Arabidopsis thaliana: one gene and its partners. The protein of the gene in region 1 interacts with the protein of each later gene in a pairwise test. Each region holds a gene or a part of one and is shown in the gene's direction. Other genes may lie near its edges. The genes, in order: MLO3, ERS2, AT4G30500 and CRK10.

Region 1 (6,052 bases):
AATTATTTTGAGCCAGCCCTAAGTAAAAAACGTATAGGCTTTTGTCGACGATTATGTTATAAACTTATAACTAGATAAGAACTCGCATCTAGTGTGGGATGAAACGATTAAAATAAATTATTTGATAAAATTATTGATATTTAATATTTGTCTGTATATAATAAAACATGTAATTAATGTTTTTATTTTATTTTAATTTATGTTTGTTTTGTGTAAAAATACGTTTCACCCGTGATTGTTAAAGCTCTAATTCTTGAGTGGGTCGGAACTTGGTTTAATTTGCAACATAATACAAACATCGATATATCAGATCTTTTTTAGTTTGTGTTATAGTGTGCTCAGTGGGGCGGCTGTTGTACGGATAGATTTGAAAGGATTCTTTGTTATGATTCCAACGTTTTTGCAATCACTAGAGAAAACCAATGAGATTGTAAAAGAAAAACGGAAACAAAACAAAACAAAAGAGAAGAAAGCTAGAGAACAAAAAAATGATATTCACTAGACATGGTTTCGACGAAGAAACTGGAAACCAGCCATCAAACAAATACAACAAAGATGATCTGAGCTTAGTCGAGAAAAAAGGATCCTGAATTGCTCGGATGATAAAATCAGACGTGGTTGGGATTTCTCTCTAAAATGTTCTCATCATTTAATTTGGCCATTTGGATATGATTTAAATCCTAATTTCTAGCTTTAGTTTCTTGTTTTTTTTTTTAAATTAATCAAGCACAATAAAAACCTTAGACTTAGAACCCTCCATTTTTTTTCCAACAATTTTGAAAACTATATAAGTTCATTATTTTTATCTCTATATATATATATAAGCTTAAGAAAATGTACGTATAATTATGTTTGTTCAAATGTTCATCCAGAATATTTTACGATGTCATATTGGTTTTGTTTTGTTATCATGTTGTGAAGTAAGTAATCATTTTTTTTATTGTCATTTCCGTTCTTGTATTAAAAATTATATATTGATGTGGTTGTTAAACCGAAAAAGAAGGTGAATTTGGTAGATCGCAATATTTATTGATGAAATTAAGAAAATATCAATAATATGATTTGGGTTCATTACATAGTTTTTTTTTTTACATGTGTAACCCCTTCTCACGGCCACGGTGAAATTTTCATAATATACACAAAAAGGGCAACAAATAAGAAATTTTCATTACATAGTATATTCCTTAATTTTGTTTTTATTCTCATTTAGTTTTTACTAGAAACATTAAAATGAACTTATATTTGTAACGTGCTATTTTGTTTTCTGAACTATCAAATGAACGTCTAACAAAATCAAACTCAAAAACTTATAATTTATAACTCTAATTTCCATTTAATAAATAATATACCCACTAAATTAAAAGTTAAAAGTTAACTAGTAAAATCGACTATAATTGCAGAAAATTAGAAACTGTTTTATCCTTTCTTTACATTGTCGGTTTTCACCGTCCAATACTCCAATCCATTTTTAGTTTACTAACTAAAATTTTTTTATTTTAATTTACTTATCAAGTTTACCCAAGAATAATATTAAGTCTTACCAAGTCAAGACAGGGCAGTACGTATGAAGTGGGACTTGGGATTTAATGTCACATTTAAAGCTTAAACGTCAGTGTTTACTAGAAACTTTGACAAGTTCTTGATTGCAACACAACAATGATTGCGACAATATTAATAGATATATAGTTATATTTTCCACCACATATCTAATTCTTCATCTTCTCAACTAAACAAATCAGTCACCGGGAAAAATATAAAGAGATGACGGATAAAGAAGAAAGCAACCACTCCTCGGAGGTTGGCGCCGTCCGATCCCTCCAAGAAACTCCCACTTGGGCTCTGGCCACCGTTTGTTTCTTCTTCATCGCTGTTTCCATTTGCCTCGAGCGTCTCATCAATCTTCTATCCACTGTAAGTACAAATATGTATATTATAGGATCATATATACTTTCTTCTATACACTGTTTAAATTTTGACTAATCTCTTTAAGTTTTTTTTATAAATTTTTTGTTCTTGGAAAAGTAGAGTTTGGTTTACACTTGCAAGAATTTAAATTGGATATATTTATATTTTATTAAATTAGATATATAGGTGAAGTAGTAAATATGTATGTTAATAAAAATGTATTTTAATATTTTAACCATTTTCGAAAAATATCAGCTAGATAACATGAGTTGAAATTTCAACAAAAAATAAAAAGCGAGTCGAAAGTTCAAGACAAAACTGTATTATATATATATTGTCTCTTTTCTTGCAGAGACTTAAGAAAAATAGAAAAACGTCGCTACTTGAAGCTGTAGAGAAGCTCAAATCAGGTAAAAAACTGTCCCATTCGTAGAAAAGTTCATTGGTCATCAATCTTTGTTTAATTTAAAAAGCTCAAACATCTTATAGTAAAAAAAAATCCTAAATTTTTGGATATGAAAATCAATTGAAATATCTCTTCCAATTTTATTAATCTCTGAATTTTTAATGTTCTGTAAGGGCAGTTCTAATGGTGCTAGGATTCATGTCACTAATGCTAAATGTAACTGAAGGAGAAGTTTCGAAGATATGCATTCCTATAAAGTATGCCAATCGAATGTTGCCATGCCGTAAAACCATAAAATCACATAATGATGTTAGTGAAGATGATGATGATGATGATGGTGATAATCATGACAACAGCTTCTTTCATCAATGCTCTTCCAAGGTTCTTTTTGACCCTTTGATCTTTAATTAAAATCATTTTACAGTTTTATTTTCATTTATCTTTAAATCCAAGGTGGACATATATATAATGTATAAAAGTAGTATACAAAGGTTTTAACTTAGAAAAACAAAAGTTTTGATGACCAGTGAAACTGTAGATAGAAATTATGCAGCAATTTTGTTTTCTTAATCAATCACACAATTTAGTTTTTGATTTATGAATTTTCGTTAAATGATTTTCCAGTTTTCATAACCTTTTATTGCTTACTATTCTACAATATGATTATTTAAATAAGAGATTTAATCATATACATTTTTATATGCTTAACTTATGAAACTTCTGAATCCAAAAGTTTTAAGATATCTTCTTGAAATCCAAGATGGAGGGAGAGAGGACCGCAAAATCCAAAAATGTCAACTAGTTTACTTTGACGTTGACTTGGAGTCTTGGACATTGTCGTTAGCTAGAGTCCACTAATCAAGAAAATTACGTCCAAATAAAAAAGAAAACAAAAAAAAAATTGTTGAGTTATGAACAAAATATCAAGAGTATGACTTTTTCTTTGCTTACTAAAGTAAATTTTATTTCGAAGTAACTAATCCGATTTAATAAAATAAAATTTGCAGGGTAAGACTTCACTAATATCAGAAGAAGGGTTGACTCAGTTGAGTTACTTCTTCTTTGTGTTGGCATGCATGCATATTCTCTGCAATCTTGCTATTCTTCTCCTTGGAATGGCCAAGGTACTACATATATACACTATGCAATCAAATATTATAACATTACAATTGTTTAATAAAGACTTCAATAATTTGTGACATGGTTTTTTACTATTGTTTACATACAAAGTTTTTTGTGTACGTAATACATATAGATGAGAAAATGGAATTCGTGGGAGAAAGAGACCCAAACAGTGGAGTATCTAGCAGCAAACGGTAAGATTTTTGTATTTTTCTACTACGAAATTACATGCAATGTCAATTATTTCTTAGTCGATAAGTTAATTAATATTTTATGAAAATTTAAAGATCCGAATAGGTTTAGAATAACAAGAGATACAACATTTGCTCGACGACACCTGAGTTCATGGACTGAAACATCATTTCAACTTTGGATTGTAAGTTCGTACCTATTATTAATCTTTAATTAATTTGTTAATTAACATTTATCTCAAATATATAGGTTTAACTATATTAATAATTAAGTTTTTTTCTTCTTAGAAATGTTTCTTCAGGCAATTTTACAACTCAGTGGCGAAAGTAGATTACCTCACACTTCGGCATGGGTTCATCTTTGTTAGTACCTCATTTTTTGTCAATGAATAATTATTTAAAAATAAATAAATTTTAAATTTAATGTGTTATTTTGATTATTGATGCAGGCTCATGTATCGTCAAATAATGCTTTCAACTTCCAAAACTATATACAGAGATCTTTACATGAAGATTTTAAAACTGTGGTTGGTATAAGGTAGTCATATTTGTGTATTTTACATGAATCTTAAGTAACAAAGTTAAATCAAATAAACTTTTTAATTTTGTTACAGTCCTTTAATGTGGCTAACTGTGGTCATCTTTATGCTCCTCGACGTTTCTGGTAACTTAATTTATATATTTGTTAGCTTAAATAGTTAAATTAAAATAATTATTAGTGATTACTCGTTTTTATCTTATCTTCTTCTTTTTTTCTTAATCATCAGGTTGGAGAGTATATTTTTATATGTCATTTGTGCCACTCATTGTAAGAGCTAATTTAATCTAGTTAAGACTAATTAACTATATGTGTAACTCAAATTATTGACGAACTAATATTGTTACGTAGATAGTTTTAGTGATCGGGACGAAACTAGAGATGATAGTAGCGAAAATGGCGGTCACAATTAAGGAGAATAACAGTGTAATTAGAGGAACCCCTCTCGTTGAGTCAAACGACACGCATTTCTGGTTTTCCAATCCTCGTTTTCTCTTAAGCATTCTACACTACACGCTGTTTCTGGTAATCTTTTATAAACTACATGTCGTTTTTCCTAATGCTTCATCATAATGCCAACATTAATTTTTCTAATACAGAACACCTTCGAGATGGCATTTATTGTGTGGATCACTGTAAGTTCTAATTTCTTATAGGGATTTTAATATTTGGATTTATAAGAAAGGGAAAAATAATATAGGAAATTGTTATATGTGATGTATCTATAATTTTAATTATGAAATTAGTGGCAATTTGGGATTAACTCTTGCTACCATGATAACCAAGGGATCATAATCACACGACTTGTATTAGCGTAAGCACTACAATTTATTTATTTTATCCCACAAATTATTTACATTTTCGAAATTATATTTTTGTATTAAAAATCATATCGTTAATATTAAGGATATTATGATTTATAGGGTGACAGTCCAGTTCTTGAGCAGCTACATTACATTGCCTCTTTATGCCATTGTAACTCAGGTAATTTAGTCCAATATATATAACACCATTTTTAAATTAAATCGTTTTGCATTAGTATATAAATTATTACTGTTAGTGTAACCTAGTGATCTGAATTTGATTTGGATGCATATATATATGTGTTTAGATGGGGTCAAGCTACAAGAGAGCAATCTTAGAAGAACAACTAGCAAATGTGTTAAGGCACTGGCAAGGGATGGTTAGAGACAAGAAAAAGACTATCCAAACGCCAGACACCGACAACAACAGTAACAATAACAATGGTGATATTGATTCTGGAGAAAGTCCGGTTCAGACAGAAGTTGCTTCTGAGTTTAGATTTTCGGGTAGACAATCGCCGATTTTACAAGAGATACAGATACAAGAGAAAACTGAAAGGTGATCAGATTGATGGAAAATGAGAAAGAGATTGTTGGTATTATTGTTAAGAACTTTTTAGAGTTGCCTTTACTAATTATTGACGAATCAAATGACAAAATAGTAAGTTTAACCAGAAGTGTCAGTGTTAGATTGGCATGCTGGTATCGTGATAACATGTCACACATAATGTGACTAATAATTGATATGGTTTCTAGAGGATTGCTTGAAGCTATTTTTCTTATTGTGAGGTTATTAAGGACACTGTGAATTATATATACGTGTACAGAATGAAAATGTCGCATTGGCAATGCAGAAAACAGACTTATCTCTATTCTTCTTTGAAAAGCTCGCGACCGATGACAATCCTTCTGATCTCGCTTGTCCCTGCACCGATTTCATATAGCTTTGCATCTCTTAGAAGGCGTCCTGTTGCATATTCGTTTATGTATCCATTTCCGCCTAAACATTGTATCGCCTGCAACATCAAACCAAATCTTTTAGTCTTAAAGGAAAGGTAACTAGGTGATCAATATGTGTAGTTATGAT
Region 2 (5,575 bases), on another chromosome or scaffold:
ACGTACTCTCGATAACAGTTCATATTCAAGACTCAAGAGAATCTCGTATATTCTAAGGAAGACGTACCTAAACAGAAAGTTGGTCCCAAAAAACGAGAGAAGGAATGAAAGATCAAGGATACATGTTTTATATACATGAAAAATACTAAATTTTAAAAGAAGTATTAAACGTTTTTATAATGTCACCGGAAAGAAGATGTAAATGTATTGATCAAATCATCTGACTATAAAAGTAATTCAAATCACCATTTTTTTAAATCAATTTGAATATTTGATGAATTTCCGTATATAAACAATCAGTCCCGCTCTTGCTGTATAAATGAAACGTCTATCAAACATTAGCTAGTCTTGTACTGGATTGCCTTTACAGACAAAAGATTATACTGTATATGTATGTGGTCTCATGCAAAAAAAGTAAAAATGATTCTGTGTACATCTGTTTTGATTTGCATATATATTGGCTTAAGTGGCAAAGGTGCATGCACTATTTCTATTTCTTTGATAAAAGTTTTATGATGCATGCATTCTTACCAGTGATTTCTTTAAAAGGAGAAGACATTTGTTTTGTAATAGTGACGAGAATGTAGACAGAAAAGGAAAGGAATCAGCACGTGTTCATCGCTCGACACGTGGCCAATAATAGCATTGGATTCAGAAAAAAAGAAAAAGAAAAAAGCGAAAAAACCTGTATAACAGGAAAAAAATACAATCTGCACCAGCCGGGAATCGAACCCGGGTCTGTACCGTGGCAGGGTACTATTCTACCACTAGACCACTGGTTATTTATTTAAAAGATTTATATTGGTATAAAACCTTGACCATAAAATGTTCCTAGTGCATCCACTAAGATCAAATTCATATTAATAAACAAAAACATAAAATTCAAACCGATATAGCAAGATTGCTGTTAGTTTTGTCTTCTAAATCTGATAAGTGTTCGTTATTGTCGAGGTTATGTAGCTAGTTTATATATTACTTGTACTAAATTTCAATAGGGCAATCAAAATATACGGATTTTCATGTGTATATATTTTTCTAAATTTGCGGTTTACAAAGAAAAGTTAGTGGTTGATCATATTGATTTCTTGAAAGGGAAATATTACCAATAAAATGATAAAATTGCCAAGAAAAATTAGTAGTACGATCGATAATTTAGTGATATTGGGATCCAAAGAGATGATCATGCACTTAGTTAAGACTCCATTTTCTGATAAGAGTTAAGTGGCGGTAGACCCACAAAGAAATTTGATTCGGTATTGTTATTATTGAGTAGAAAAACAAAGATGGAGTGTTTAACTAAATCATGTCTAATAAGTAGCAAGGTAGGTCAATATAACGTTTTACAAACGAAAAATAGCATTGCATATTTAATTATCTACCAAATATCTTAAGTCAGTCGAATAAACTAACTCATTATGTTATCAAATCAGCCGCAAATTGTGCCGTTTAAGTCAATACTATTTTTAACTTAGATATTTAGTGAGTAGACTTCATACTTGCATAGTCTAGTAGTTATCATTGTTTAATGCAATTTTTTGGTTTTAATGTAAACTTATACTACTATTTGGTCATGTAATCTCACTTTCTAAAAAACCAATGTAATCATCCATAATAGAAATAAAACATTTATTTAATATAATTAACTAATTTTTAAACATTAAAAAGAATAGATTTATTTTTATACATAAAATAATAGAAATATAAATATATATATATATTATTATAGGTTGTTTATTGTAATCCAAAAGCAGAATAAAATTTGGGATAGGTATTAAGAGTCATAAATCTTGAAAATAGAGTCATTAATTAATAAAGCTGAAAAGGAAAGATTAAAAAAAGAAGAAGAATCCTCTAAAATTGAATTTGGTAAGAGTCCACGTAGGTCAAGAAGAAGAAGAAGAAGATGTCGTGCTCGTGTTGTGTTCCAAACGAAAAGCGTCTATGTTCTCTTCATGTACCGTTTCTGGGTCCCACCCCCCTTTCCTTCTTCACTCTCCCCCCAATTCCTCCCTCTCTCTCTCTCTCTCTCTCTCTCTCTCACCAAAACGTAAATCTACTCTCTCTATCGCAGCAGACACAGAAAAAGAGAGAGCGAGAGACTCTGCTCACACACATATTTACTTCCCTAACTTGTCTCTCTCTCTACACATTCTGGTGAGTTTCGTAAGATTCAACAATCGTTTAGACTTCTTCTTCTTCTTCTTCTACAGCTTTTACGTTTTCTGGAAAAGAGATTTTTGGCTGATCACTACGTTGCAGGTATATGATTTCTCAAATGTGAGATGGGTTTGATGTTCCTTTTCGCTATTTCTCATCTGATTTTGAATTTTCTGCGGATTTTGTGAGGAATCGGTAGATTTTGATGTTTGTTCTTGTGGGTGGTTCATAACTTCATACATTTAGGGGATTAAAAGAAAATTAATTTACAAATTCGGTCCTTGTTGTGAAAAAGATTTATAATCTAAAAGACATTAACTTTACTCTCTCCTTGAACAAGTTTTGAATTTTGAATCTTTTTCTGATTTTGATTTTCACTATGTTCATAGGTAATTGCACAATTCTGGGTATACAAAATCCAAACGTTACGCATATTGAATTGAAAAATCTCGATTTTGAGTTCTGGGTATGAATAAAAATCTCACCTTTTTAATTAATTCTTACTCAGGGAAACAGTAATCGATGTTAAAGACATTGTTAGTCCAATGGCTTGTCTTCTTCTTCTTCTTCTTAATCGGTTCCGTCGTCACCGCCGCAGAAGACGACGGTAGCTTGTCGTTATGCAACTGCGACGACGAAGACAGTCTCTTTAGCTACGAGACAATCCTCAACTCGCAAAAAGTCGGCGACTTTCTTATCGCAATCGCTTATTTCTCGATCCCAATCGAGCTGGTTTACTTCGTGAGCCGCACCAATGTGCCTTCACCTTACAATTGGGTGGTCTGCGAGTTTATAGCCTTCATTGTTCTCTGCGGCATGACCCATTTGCTCGCTGGTTTCACCTACGGGCCTCACTGGCCTTGGGTCATGACAGCTGTCACTGTCTTCAAGATGCTGACTGGTATCGTCTCTTTCCTCACGGCACTCTCGTTAGTCACTCTCTTACCATTGCTTCTTAAGGCTAAGGTTCGTGAGTTTATGTTGAGTAAGAAGACCAGAGAGCTTGATCGTGAGGTTGGGATCATTATGAAGCAGACTGAGACGAGTTTGCATGTTCGTATGCTCACTACCAAGATTAGGACGTCTCTTGATCGACACACCATTCTATACACTACGCTTGTGGAGTTGTCCAAGACTCTGGGGCTCAAGAACTGTGCGGTTTGGATCCCGAATGAGATCAAGACGGAGATGAATCTTACTCATGAGTTAAGACCGAGGATTGATGATGAGAATGAGAATGAGCATTTTGGTGGTTATGCTGGGTTCTCGATACCGATTAGTGAGTCTGATGTTGTGAGGATTAAGAGAAGCGAAGAGGTGAATATGTTGAGCCCTGGTTCTGTGCTTGCCTCAGTGACTAGCCGAGGGAAGTCAGGTCCTACGGTTGGGATAAGAGTCCCTATGCTTCGGGTTTGTAACTTTAAAGGCGGGACACCAGAGGCGATTCACATGTGTTATGCGATATTGGTGTGTGTGCTTCCATTGAGACAGCCGCAGGCTTGGACTTATCAAGAGCTTGAGATTGTTAAGGTGGTGGCTGATCAAGTGGCGGTTGCAATCTCTCACGCCGTGATTCTTGAAGAATCTCAGCTTATGAGAGAGAAACTCGCTGAACAGAACCGAGCGCTTCAGGTTGCGAGGGAGAACGCACTGAGAGCTAATCAAGCCAAGGCTGCGTTCGAGCAGATGATGAGCGATGCAATGAGGTGTCCTGTGCGGTCCATTCTCGGGTTGCTTCCTTTGATACTTCAGGATGGGAAGTTACCCGAGAACCAGACTGTTATCGTTGATGCAATGAGGAGAACCAGCGAGTTACTTGTACAGCTTGTAAACAATGCCGGAGATATAAACAATGGGACAATCCGCGCTGCAGAGACTCATTATTTCAGTTTGCATTCGGTTGTGAAAGAGTCAGCTTGCGTGGCGAGGTGTTTATGCATGGCAAATGGTTTTGGTTTCTCAGCTGAAGTTTATAGAGCATTGCCTGACTACGTCGTAGGTGATGATAGAAAGGTCTTTCAAGCGATTTTGCATATGCTTGGGGTTCTAATGAATCGAAAGATCAAAGGGAATGTGACTTTCTGGGTTTTTCCGGAAAGCGGGAACTCAGACGTATCAGAGAGGAAAGATATTCAAGAAGCGGTTTGGCGACATTGCTATTCGAAAGAATACATGGAAGTTAGATTCGGATTCGAGGTAACTGCTGAAGGTGAAGAGAGTAGTAGTAGTAGTAGTGGTAGTAACCTGGAGGAGGAGGAAGAGAATCCGAGTCTCAACGCTTGCCAAAACATTGTAAAGGTTGGTCATTTGTGTTTTGTATGTAAATGTGCTAATGACTTGGTTTAACACTTTTATCTTGTTTTGTGACAGTATATGCAAGGGAATATTCGGGTTGTTGAGGACGGTCTAGGTTTGGTGAAAAGCGTCTCAGTTGTTTTCCGGTTTCAACTCCGGCGATCGATGATGTCGAGAGGCGGTGGATATTCTGGAGAAACGTTTAGAACCTCAACTCCTCCGTCTACTAGCCACTGATCATTGACGTCAGGAAGGGGGGGAGGGGAATGTAGTGCAAAAGAAAGATTTAAGGGGTGGAATCTGAGAATTTGTAAAAACAGTAGGGGCTTTAATGAGATTAACAGAGAGAGTACTAAAACGTTGTCGTTCGGTTGTAAAAACCTGAAAGTTAACTAGGTTTTAACCTATCGTGTAGGCAAAAGGTATGATGCAGACTTGTTGTAACTTGCTGGTGATAACAGAATTCAAAGTAAAAAAATGTGTCGGAGGATGTTCCTTACGGATTTGTGATTTACAAGCCTACCAACTCCTTTGTCAAATATTGTGACGTTTTAGATGAAGCTTATAAATTTATTGATTTCTGATCCAGAAACCGTATACAACTTGTATCCACAATATGTATCCAGGTACATATTAACTTCGACCTTTTAATTAACTTTTGTTTTTAAAAGGTTTATGTGATTTTTTTTTTTTAACATTGAGGTGATTCGTGCGACCTCTCTTTCTCTCTATTTATCTCTCTTTCTTTTCCTCCGTCGTCTTTTTTGGTTTGTTCTCTCTCTGTAGAATCTCATAGGAGCTGCCATTAGCCCATTCAACGAATTAGCTTCTCTTTGCTCTTTCTTCCACCATCTCAGGTTCGCTTCGATCTACAACCAATAAGCTTCTTCTATATCTCCTCCTTTGTTCTTCGGATTTTGCGAGGCTTTATGTTCCGATTACAGTCTTTCATTTTGATACCACACCGATTTTGATTTTCCCCGATCGTTGATTTCATCTGGGCTTTGTTTTGTTTTCCGATGTCTTTGATGAAATTATGAGGTTTCTCTGGATATTTTAGCTGATTGAAATGATATATTGCTTCGCCGCCCTCTAATTTTTCGGCTGATTTTTTTTTGTTTGT
Region 3 (4,041 bases), on another chromosome or scaffold:
TACTTGGCAGATATCACCAGTCATGAGTTCACCATTACTGATTCTTCTCTCATACTCAACAAGAGGACCTGTTCTATTCACATCTGTCATCATTCAACAAATATCAGCAAACCAATAAACACGAACTCTGAGATTGATAGAATTTCTTTGCAAAGAGAAACAAAACCTGAGACGGTGACCCTAGTAGTAGCAGGATCAGCTGCTTCTACTGCTTCTGCTGATAAGCCTCTAAAGATACTTGACCTTGAATACAAACTTGAATTATCAGTGTTTGTATTCAGCAGAGCTTGATTTTGATTGACACCGATCAAAAGTTTGCGGCTTTTGGAGTAGAAAGTTGAAGAATAACGTTCTTGATTGTTCCTTAGAGCCCATCTAATTCTACTGAGAGATGATAACCTAATGATTGGTCTCATCTACGATCAATGCAAATTCAATTCAGCAGCTGAAACTTTGAGATACGGAAACAGAGCAAGAACAATAACCCAAGAAGAAAAACAGAATCTTTGTATGAGAGAAATCGGATCCGGATAAGAATTAGAGCACAAGAGGAAAAAGTGAATGAGAATATTGAAAAGTTAAGTTTGATGTTTATATGTAATGACGATGATAAATCTGGATAAGAGAGATAGAGAGAGACCCAAGAATAAACGGAGATGTAGTCAAATAAGGAAGATAGAGAAGAAGATCTTTAACTGTTAAACTCTTAAAACAGAGAGATAGAGGCGTGATTAATGAGTTATTTATCAACTAAGACACGTTTTTTATTTTTTTATTTTTATATACTTTCAATTTTTTAACCAAAATTGATTGTGTTGTACTTCTAATTACATTTGTTAATGTTGATTGCATAGTTGTTTTCCAGGTCATTAGAGGATTGTATTTGTCCCTTATTTAAGAGAGTTGACTATTTTTATTCCTATGAAAAAAGTAATTTCTTGATATATCTTTACCCTAATGATGTCTACAAGTCAAATTACAAATTTTATAAACAATTTTTAACATTTGTAATTATAGTATAGAATATTGGAAACGGAAGCTTCTCGATGTTGCGTTTGCGTACAGGATACTGGTGGACCTAGCGAATGTGTCCCATACATAGGCTAAGCATATTCCAAGTGGGAGAGAGATACGTGAATCAGACATGGTCCTTAAAGATGATCCAACGGTCTATAATTTTTCTAGTTTTGTTCTCAATGGGTAAGTTGAACAATGGACCTTAATGATGACATGTTGCATTGCGTATGATTCCACGTGTCCACGTCATTTCTTACACTGCAAACATGTCTTTTTCTGACCAACCCCTAACGCTACTTTTCTTTGATACATCTTTGTTTTTGCTATAATGGTGCTTGTTGACAAAATAATACTATGTTGAATTGACCTAAAACCATACTCAGATTGGGATATCCGAGAACCATTGTGTAAGACGTGATGTTTGATCCAAATATGGGCTACACTCAAATATTGGATATAGGCCCACAAGATATGATATCTTCATTTTTTTTTGTCTATAGAACAACATAAAACAGGGAAAAAAATTTACACTACTTTTGTTCTTGTTCCGTTATAAATATCGTTTTACCGATTGATCATAGAAATGGTATACTTTTTAGTTTTTGGAACAGCGGTAAAAGGTTTTATGTTGATGTCTTCTCCGAGCGCCGGTGATTTTCACACAGACCTTGTTATTGGAAAACTGAAATAATGCAGTTTTCTGTTGATAGGCCTTAAGATGTCAGATTTTATGGGCCTTTTAGGTTGTTCTGGCCCATTTAGATAGAACTGTTTCAGTTTTCCAACAACAACTGATAAGGATAGACGAAAGCCCAAATTAAGAATCTTTGTCCTAAACCCAAGGAAAAGCGTAATTACGACACGCAGCCAAACAAAACATTTCCTGCGTGAAAAAAGTATTTGAGAAAAGAGGACGACAAAAAGGTACAGGTGTCAATATATAATTGGATTAAACAAGCTTAGACACCTAAAAGTTTTCTCTCACACCATTTGTGAAGATCCAAAGCAAAAGAAGAATTACAGAAACTGAAAAAACTATCTTCCTCGTCTCTTTGATCATTCTCTTTTAACTCATGGCGAATCAAGGAGCAAAGAAGAGGAAAGATGAGAACGCTCGACACATGGCTAAGCTCCGTCTCATTATGATCCTTTGCAACGTAACTTCCTCGTTCCTCATTTCTTAAATTCTCAATACATTAATCCGTTGAGCTTAGATTTGTTTAGATACGTTACTTGTATCAATATGGAACTAAAAATCCGTTGAATTTGATCTTTAGGTCTCGAAAGTTTCAATGTTTAGCTGATTTTGTTTCGATGAATTCGAGGATTGATGTTTTTGGCAATATGTGTTTGCAGATTTTGTATGTCCTAGTGAGGGTTATAATTTCGCATTCAAGTCATACCTGGAAAAATTGGATTGGTCTTGTGTTAACATCGTTAGGTTACGGGATTCCATATAAGCTTCTTCATCAAATGGCAAAGCCTAGTGTTAGTGATGCTGGTGAACTTCTTGATGGTGGATTTGACATGAGCACTCCTGGAATGTGTGGGTACGTTCGGAAAGATTTGTCTTTTAAATTGATCAACTAGAAAGTGCCTGCTTTTGTCTCAAGTGTTTCTGTATAGTTGGATTCTGTTTCCATAACCAAAAGCAATAGTAGGAGGACTGTTTCATTATCAGTTGTTTGAAATGAGTGATGTTTTACTAGTTGTGGCTTTCTCCGAGTTTTATCGTTTATCAGTTGCTACATAATCGTCATCTTTATGGTGGATTGGATTTATGGTAGATTCTATAGTATAAGCCTGATGCTCTATTCTTCCTTGCAGATATTTGCATGATGTACTCTACATCACCTGCTTTGTGCAGGTCGGATCTATCATCTCTGGAAAGTTTTGGTACGCGTATTTAGTGGTATGATACCCATCTCAATTTTCTTTATTGCCATATTTTAAGGCAAACAACAGATTTGCTCTGTAGGAATGATGCAACCATTTACTTTTGCTTGTTTTTATTTTAGATCCCTGCATTTGGAGCATACAAAGCTTCTGGTCTTATTAAGGGACTATTGTCACATGGTTCAGAGGTAATCACTTTGTCTTGAATACTCTCAAAGTGCTTTGAACAAGGGGGAAATAAAACATGATCATTTAAAATGGACTGTGTTTTGTCTATATGACTGAACTTAGGGAGGTGTTGAGGATGAGAAGACTCGCAAAAAGAGGGAGAAGATGGAGAGAAAAGCTTCTAGAGGACAAGTCGTTAAGACAAGATCTCGATGAATGTCTTAAACATTCATCTTTAGCAAACACAATTAGCAAATCTTTCTTCAAACATACAAAATGCAAATCAATGGGTAAATACTCTTGACTTTGTAATGTACCTGTCTTTACACTATTTTGACTTAATGGATGTGTTAAGATGAAGTAGACTAATAGTCTTGAGTAGGATACAGTGAATTCTCATAAGATAAAAGACTTTTGCTCTTTGGATTATGATGATGTTATGACTTGTGAGCCATTAGACCGACAAATGATCCTGACTTGAAAATTCTGATTCATAGCTAAAGAGCCTTGACTGTAACTATGGAGTAAGTGGGATATGATGGAAAGAGTTGGGAAACCATTTTGTATTTCATTTCTTCAACACAAATCAAGATTAAGATACAGTAATAGCACGGAAGAGCTAATTATATTTGCGAATAACCAAAGAACATGAGACTATAAACATATTCTTAATGAACCCAAGGTACAAAAATTGTTACATACAAAAAAGTTGCCCAGTACTTTCATATATTTGATATTTGGTTGTATACATCACCCGGTGGTTATGGAGAAGAGATTGAATTCACGTTCCAGTGTCCATAGAGACTCATTCTTGTTATTGATACTTAGCGTATACTCCTGGAAATATCCGTTATAAGTGATCACCGATACCGTTGCTCTGAAAAGAACGTGAAAGGTAAAAGATTATCAAAACTTGTCATGTAACCATGGTTTCAAAATGAAGATATCCTAAAATCTTAC
Region 4 (5,410 bases), on another chromosome or scaffold:
TGGCCAAGTTGTAATTCGTTTTGCTCTGCTTTACAAATTGACGTGTTGCTTTTTCTCTGCGTTTAAAATTGGTATCATCGAAATAAAGTAACTCAGTTTCTTACAATCAAAGAGATAAGGATTGTGAAGCAGCTAATGAGTCTTCTTATTTTGTCTTTACTTCAGTCTTCTCGTCTTTGATAGTGAATTGCTCATCTAGCTTTCTTAATCTTAGACTTGGTCAATGTTTTGGCTTTTCTCATACTAAACCAATTAATACATAAAATATTTAATTTATTTTCTATTACAATTATCTAGATATTTTTAGCTACACGTGATTGAAACGTGTCTCAAGCTACACCAACGCTCTTCCTCACAAACTGAATTCGTCGTCGATAGTGGTTGCTCTTGCTATCTTGATGTTTACTTCGTCTGATCGTTGAACTGGCCCGCTGCAACATTCTGAGTGTTCCAAGTGATTATTCTAGTTGTGCGTAACACCGTAACAGTAAAAATGAGCTAAGGAAAGCGAGATGCAAGGGAGAACCAACAGAAGCATAAGTTTTTCCTCTGTTATTACTAATGGAAAAAAACTTTCTTTTTCATTTTCTAATTCCTTGTCAGATTTCTCAGCTTCTCTTCTTTTTGTTTTGTGTAAGACTTGGTCGGAGTCTTAGATTACGCTGATGATTAAAAACTACTAAAAAAGAAAAAAAAAAGAATATTACGCAAATGTTCTCGATGCATTGACCAAGTCCTCTTCTGGTTCTGGCTCCATTTTCACATGCAGGCCCATAACCAATTTTAACGAGATTTGTTGCATGAAAAGCCGATTGTTTTTCCTTGGCAGTAACGAAAAAAAATTAGTTACTTTTTAAAAACTAGGGTTTTGAATAATATCATTAAAATCAAATAGAACGAACTAGGGTTTTGGCATCATACACCGCCTCATTCAATTATTAACAAAGCTGAGTCTTCTTCACGGAGAAATCACGGCTGAGCTAGGTCTCATATACCTTGCATCAATATCTTGGGCCTTTACTAGGATCGGAGATACATCAAACATAAAATACTTCTCGGTTTTATTTTCTCTTTCCTTATGTATATGTGAATGCCTTTAAAAATTTTGATTGCCTTTTTTCTCGTTTTGGAATAGTCATGAGAAGCTGAGAACCAAAAAGGAAATATTTCTCACCTTTGCAACTAGCTAGATGGAGCTTATGGATGCAAAATTCGTTTTAAAACACATTGTATTCGGATGATGTCAAAATATTTCACATTCATATAGCAAATTCATGTTTATATATTCCGATATTAACTTTAAATATTAAAACTTATATGCTGTAGATTCATATCCGGGTGAAAACACGAAAGGACTTATGATGGAACCATTATATGGAACGACGTCATGTGGAATATCAAGTTATTTAACTTCTCGCGAGTAAGACTATAAAAAGTAATAGAATAATTAGTAACTAACAATATCAGATAACGATAGGCAGATGATTTGGTAATACTATTTTAGTATCACTACATCACAATAACCATACTAGCATATACGATATACAAATTAATAAATTATCGTGCTTAAAACAAAAACCTATTATCAACCAATAATTTCTTCGCATCAGTGGCGACAATTTTTTCAGCCCCAGAATGATTCTTTGAAGAATAGTCAACAAAGATTCCTAATTTCAACAATTCTGTTCAAGGAAAAGTACGAAACAAATTCTACTGCTAGCTAGTTTCTCTCATGTATATCTAAATTCTATTACTAGTAATTAAGATCTTTGAAATCATGCCAACTGCTACATTTATTTTCTCTTGAAAATCCCAACTACCTTTTTTTTGATCAAAAAAAAAAAAGACTTTAGAGTTCAAAGCTTGAATTTAGAGTTATTATGTTTTAAATTTTGACAGTTTTGATAATTTTCTTCATTTTAAAATGATTTTATATTTTCCGTAATTTTTTTCTATATTTCATATATTAAAAAAATAAGTAATGGATTAGTAGCTAAACACAAGAAGTTGGACAAGACCCGACAATTTAATACGAGACGCGTTGACCTTGACCTTGACTTTTCGTCAGCACAAAACGTTATCTACGGTAGTCACTGAGAGAGAACAAACAATCAAATTTGTTTCATATATCACTCAAAGCTTGATGAGAAGAAACACAGATCAAGAAAGCCCAATTATGTCTTATTACTCCTCTTTCTTCTTCCTTTTCCTCTTCTCCTTTCTCACGAGTTTCAGAGTTTCTGCTCAAGATCCCACTTACGTATACCACACCTGTCAAAATACGGCAAATTACACAAGTAACAGCACTTACAACAACAATCTCAAGACCCTTTTGGCTTCTCTTTCTTCCCGCAACGCTTCCTACTCCACCGGATTCCAAAACGCCACCGTCGGCCAAGCTCCAGACAGAGTCACCGGACTTTTCAACTGCCGTGGAGATGTCTCAACGGAAGTTTGCCGTAGATGCGTCTCCTTTGCCGTCAACGACACCTTAACTCGGTGTCCTAACCAGAAAGAAGCCACACTTTATTACGATGAGTGTGTACTTAGATACTCTAACCAGAATATTCTCTCGACACTAATAACCACCGGTGGAGTTATCTTGGTTAACACCCGGAATGTGACATCTAACCAACTAGACCTGTTAAGTGATTTGGTTTTGCCTACTCTGAACCAAGCCGCCACCGTAGCCTTGAACAGTTCCAAAAAATTCGGTACGAGAAAAAACAATTTTACTGCGTTGCAGAGTTTCTATGGACTGGTTCAGTGCACACCTGATCTCACGAGACAAGACTGTTCGCGTTGTCTCCAACTGGTCATCAATCAAATACCTACTGACAGAATTGGTGCAAGAATTATTAATCCGAGCTGTACTTCAAGATACGAGATCTACGCGTTTTACACCGAATCCGCCGTTCCACCACCACCACCACCACCGTCAATTTCTACTCCTCCAGTTTCAGCTCCTCCGCGATCTGGTCAGAGCTCTGTTTTTTTCCTCTGTTTTTTTTTTTTGCCCTGATTTCTTGAAATTGGCAAAACCAATATAGAGAGTTTTCTTCTATCTGATTTTTAAGCAAATAATCTTTGAAATGCAGGAAAAGATGGGAATTCAAAGGTGTTAGTGATAGCCATTGTTGTGCCTATTATAGTGGCTGTTCTGCTTTTTATAGCTGGTTATTGTTTCCTTACAAGAAGGGCAAGGAAGAGTTATTACACACCATCTGCATTTGCTGGTAAAGATTTCAAGTGATAAACGATCTTTAATGTCAATGCTCAGCTTGTTTTTCCTGCTTCAAAGACTTTCATTGTGTAACAGGAGATGATATCACAACAGCAGACTCACTACAGCTTGATTATAGAACAATTCAAACTGCAACAGATGATTTTGTAGAGAGTAATAAGATTGGTCAAGGTGGATTTGGTGAGGTTTACAAGGTAAATTATAGTTCCCTTGAGCTGTGTTTTTTTTTTCTTGAAATTTTAAGCCAACACTTTTGGATAATGGGATGATGCTGATGAAAACAACAGGGTACTTTATCGGATGGGACTGAAGTTGCGGTGAAGCGACTATCAAAGTCATCAGGACAAGGTGAAGTAGAGTTCAAGAACGAGGTTGTTCTTGTTGCAAAGCTACAACATAGAAATCTGGTTAGACTTCTTGGGTTTTGTCTAGACGGAGAAGAAAGAGTACTGGTCTACGAGTATGTGCCCAACAAAAGTCTTGATTACTTCCTCTTTGGTTAGTTGCATTTAATGCTTTGTTTCAATGATTCTTGATACTTGGGGTTACGAATGTTTAGAGATCTCATTGTGATTTATGGATGTGGACAGACCCTGCAAAGAAAGGCCAGCTGGATTGGACTCGACGATACAAGATTATCGGTGGAGTTGCTCGAGGGATTCTGTATCTTCATCAAGACTCACGACTCACAATCATACACCGTGACCTCAAAGCCAGTAACATTCTCTTGGACGCGGATATGAATCCTAAAATTGCAGATTTTGGAATGGCTAGGATCTTTGGATTGGACCAAACCGAAGAGAACACAAGCAGAATAGTTGGTACCTAGTAAGTCTTCCTCATAACTTCTCATAAGTTGAAGTTTTCTGAACATTCTTTTGTTAACATAGTTTTTGTTGTGGGTTTATAAGTTGAAGTTTTCTGAACATCCTTTGGTTAACATAGTTTTTGTTGTGGGTTACAGTGGTTACATGTCTCCCGAGTATGCAATGCATGGTCAGTACTCAATGAAATCTGATGTCTATAGCTTCGGAGTGTTAGTTCTTGAGATTATAAGTGGCAAGAAGAATAGCAGCTTCTACCAAACAGATGGTGCACATGACTTGGTCTCATATGTAAGTTTTAAACCTATCAAGTTCCATATTTACCTGAACATAGTTGCAAGTGTTGATTGATTGAATAATATTCTAGGCTTGGGGGCTTTGGAGTAACGGGCGACCATTAGAACTCGTGGATCCAGCTATTGTAGAAAATTGCCAAAGGAATGAAGTTGTTCGATGTGTCCATATCGGTCTTTTATGTGTTCAAGAAGATCCTGCTGAGCGTCCGACGTTGTCAACCATTGTTCTGATGCTCACTAGTAACACTGTGACTTTACCCGTGCCACGGCAACCCGGTCTTTTCTTTCAGAGTAGAATTGGAAAAGACCCGCTTGATACAGATACAACGAGCAAATCTCTTCTAGGGTCTGTTGACGATGCATCCATCACAGATATACATCCTCGATGATGATGAGTTTTTCCCTTCATACCTGATTCCTGAATCTATTGGTGTTGAAAATAAGTTAAAAACTTCTTTTGTTATAGAATGTTTGTATTGTAATTGTAACCACAAGCAAGTATAAGATATATACCATTTACACGTTTCTCCATGAAGACGTAACAGTGACTTTTCCCTCCAAATTAAGCTTACACAACGATCTAGCAGGTAATTTGATTCAGCATGAAGAGAGTAAAACCAGTAATCGAGAAACGATTCTTAAAGAACTGTGAACTGTTCATAAGCATTTTACAGTGGACACTGTACAACATACAATTACAGATAAACCTGCTATGTTTCTTATGTCCGTGGACAAATAATATAAATGTCATCTGACCATTTTTCTGTTACAACTTTTAAGCTATGATGAGGAACCACATCAATTTTTACGAACTAAATGAGGAAGACTTGCTTGTATACTGATCAGACTCTGATCCTTCAGATACCAGTTTCAGTTGCCTGCTTCGTGGGAAAAATCCCGGTAGGCGAGGCACTGGTAGAGTAATTGTGTTACTAGTCAGCATTAAGATGATTGTTGATAACATTGGACGGTCTTCTGGATTTTCTTGAACACATAACAGCGCGATATGGATGCACCTAGTGACTTCATTACTCTGATAATTCCTT

Evidence for each region.
Region 2: the proteins of MLO3 (region 1) and ERS2 interact in a protein complementation assay, tested with the Arabidopsis thaliana proteins (one large-scale study listed by BioGRID).
Region 3: the proteins of MLO3 (region 1) and AT4G30500 interact in a protein complementation assay, tested with the Arabidopsis thaliana proteins (one large-scale study listed by BioGRID).
Region 4: the proteins of MLO3 (region 1) and CRK10 interact in a protein complementation assay, tested with the Arabidopsis thaliana proteins (one large-scale study listed by BioGRID).

What each region holds. Positions count from the first base shown.
Region 1 is NC_003074.8:16,615,825-16,621,876, forward strand, and holds MLO3 (Seven transmembrane MLO family protein), read left to right. Parts: upstream 1-1,573; 5' UTR 1,574-1,761; coding exon 1,762-1,911; intron 1,912-2,257; coding exon 2,258-2,315; intron 2,316-2,489; coding exon 2,490-2,692; intron 2,693-3,318; coding exon 3,319-3,435; intron 3,436-3,566; coding exon 3,567-3,627; intron 3,628-3,720; coding exon 3,721-3,809; intron 3,810-3,912; coding exon 3,913-3,987; intron 3,988-4,073; coding exon 4,074-4,162; intron 4,163-4,238; coding exon 4,239-4,288; intron 4,289-4,391; coding exon 4,392-4,432; exon of another isoform or gene 4,433-4,513; coding exon 4,514-4,687; exon of another isoform or gene 4,688-4,713; intron 4,714-4,761; coding exon 4,762-4,797; intron 4,798-4,908; coding exon 4,909-4,976; intron 4,977-5,085; coding exon 5,086-5,146; intron 5,147-5,273; coding exon 5,274-5,528; 3' UTR 5,529-5,546; downstream 5,547-6,052. Other genes in the region: IVD (isovaleryl-CoA-dehydrogenase), read right to left, coding at 5,835-5,981.
Region 2 is NC_003070.9:1,154,230-1,159,804, reverse strand, and holds ERS2 (ethylene response sensor 2), read left to right. Parts: upstream 1-1,991; 5' UTR 1,992-2,259; intron 2,260-2,665; 5' UTR 2,666-2,679; coding exon 2,680-4,455; intron 4,456-4,527; coding exon 4,528-4,689; 3' UTR 4,690-5,041; downstream 5,042-5,575. UniProt on the Arabidopsis thaliana protein: Ethylene receptor related to bacterial two-component regulators. Acts as a redundant negative regulator of ethylene signaling.
Region 3 is NC_003075.7:14,901,468-14,905,508, forward strand, and holds AT4G30500 (transmembrane protein (DUF788)), read left to right. Parts: upstream 1-1,883; 5' UTR 1,884-2,090; coding exon 2,091-2,174; intron 2,175-2,373; coding exon 2,374-2,567; intron 2,568-2,844; coding exon 2,845-2,929; intron 2,930-3,035; coding exon 3,036-3,101; intron 3,102-3,204; coding exon 3,205-3,297; 3' UTR 3,298-3,541; downstream 3,542-4,041. Other genes in the region: AT4G30490 (AFG1-like ATPase family protein), read right to left, coding at 4-83, 167-416; ATG18B (autophagy 18 B-like protein), read right to left, coding at 3,832-3,958.
Region 4 is NC_003075.7:12,136,028-12,141,437, forward strand, and holds CRK10 (cysteine-rich RLK (RECEPTOR-like protein kinase) 10), read left to right. Parts: upstream 1-1,967; 5' UTR 1,968-2,143; coding exon 2,144-2,978; intron 2,979-3,098; coding exon 3,099-3,236; intron 3,237-3,319; coding exon 3,320-3,438; intron 3,439-3,531; coding exon 3,532-3,742; intron 3,743-3,834; coding exon 3,835-4,072; coding exon of another isoform or gene 4,073-4,073; exon of another isoform or gene 4,074-4,204; intron 4,205-4,208; coding exon 4,209-4,359; coding exon of another isoform or gene 4,360-4,419; exon of another isoform or gene 4,420-4,435; coding exon 4,436-4,753; 3' UTR 4,754-4,895; downstream 4,896-5,410. Other genes in the region: CRK11 (cysteine-rich RLK (RECEPTOR-like protein kinase) 11), read right to left, coding at 5,170-5,410.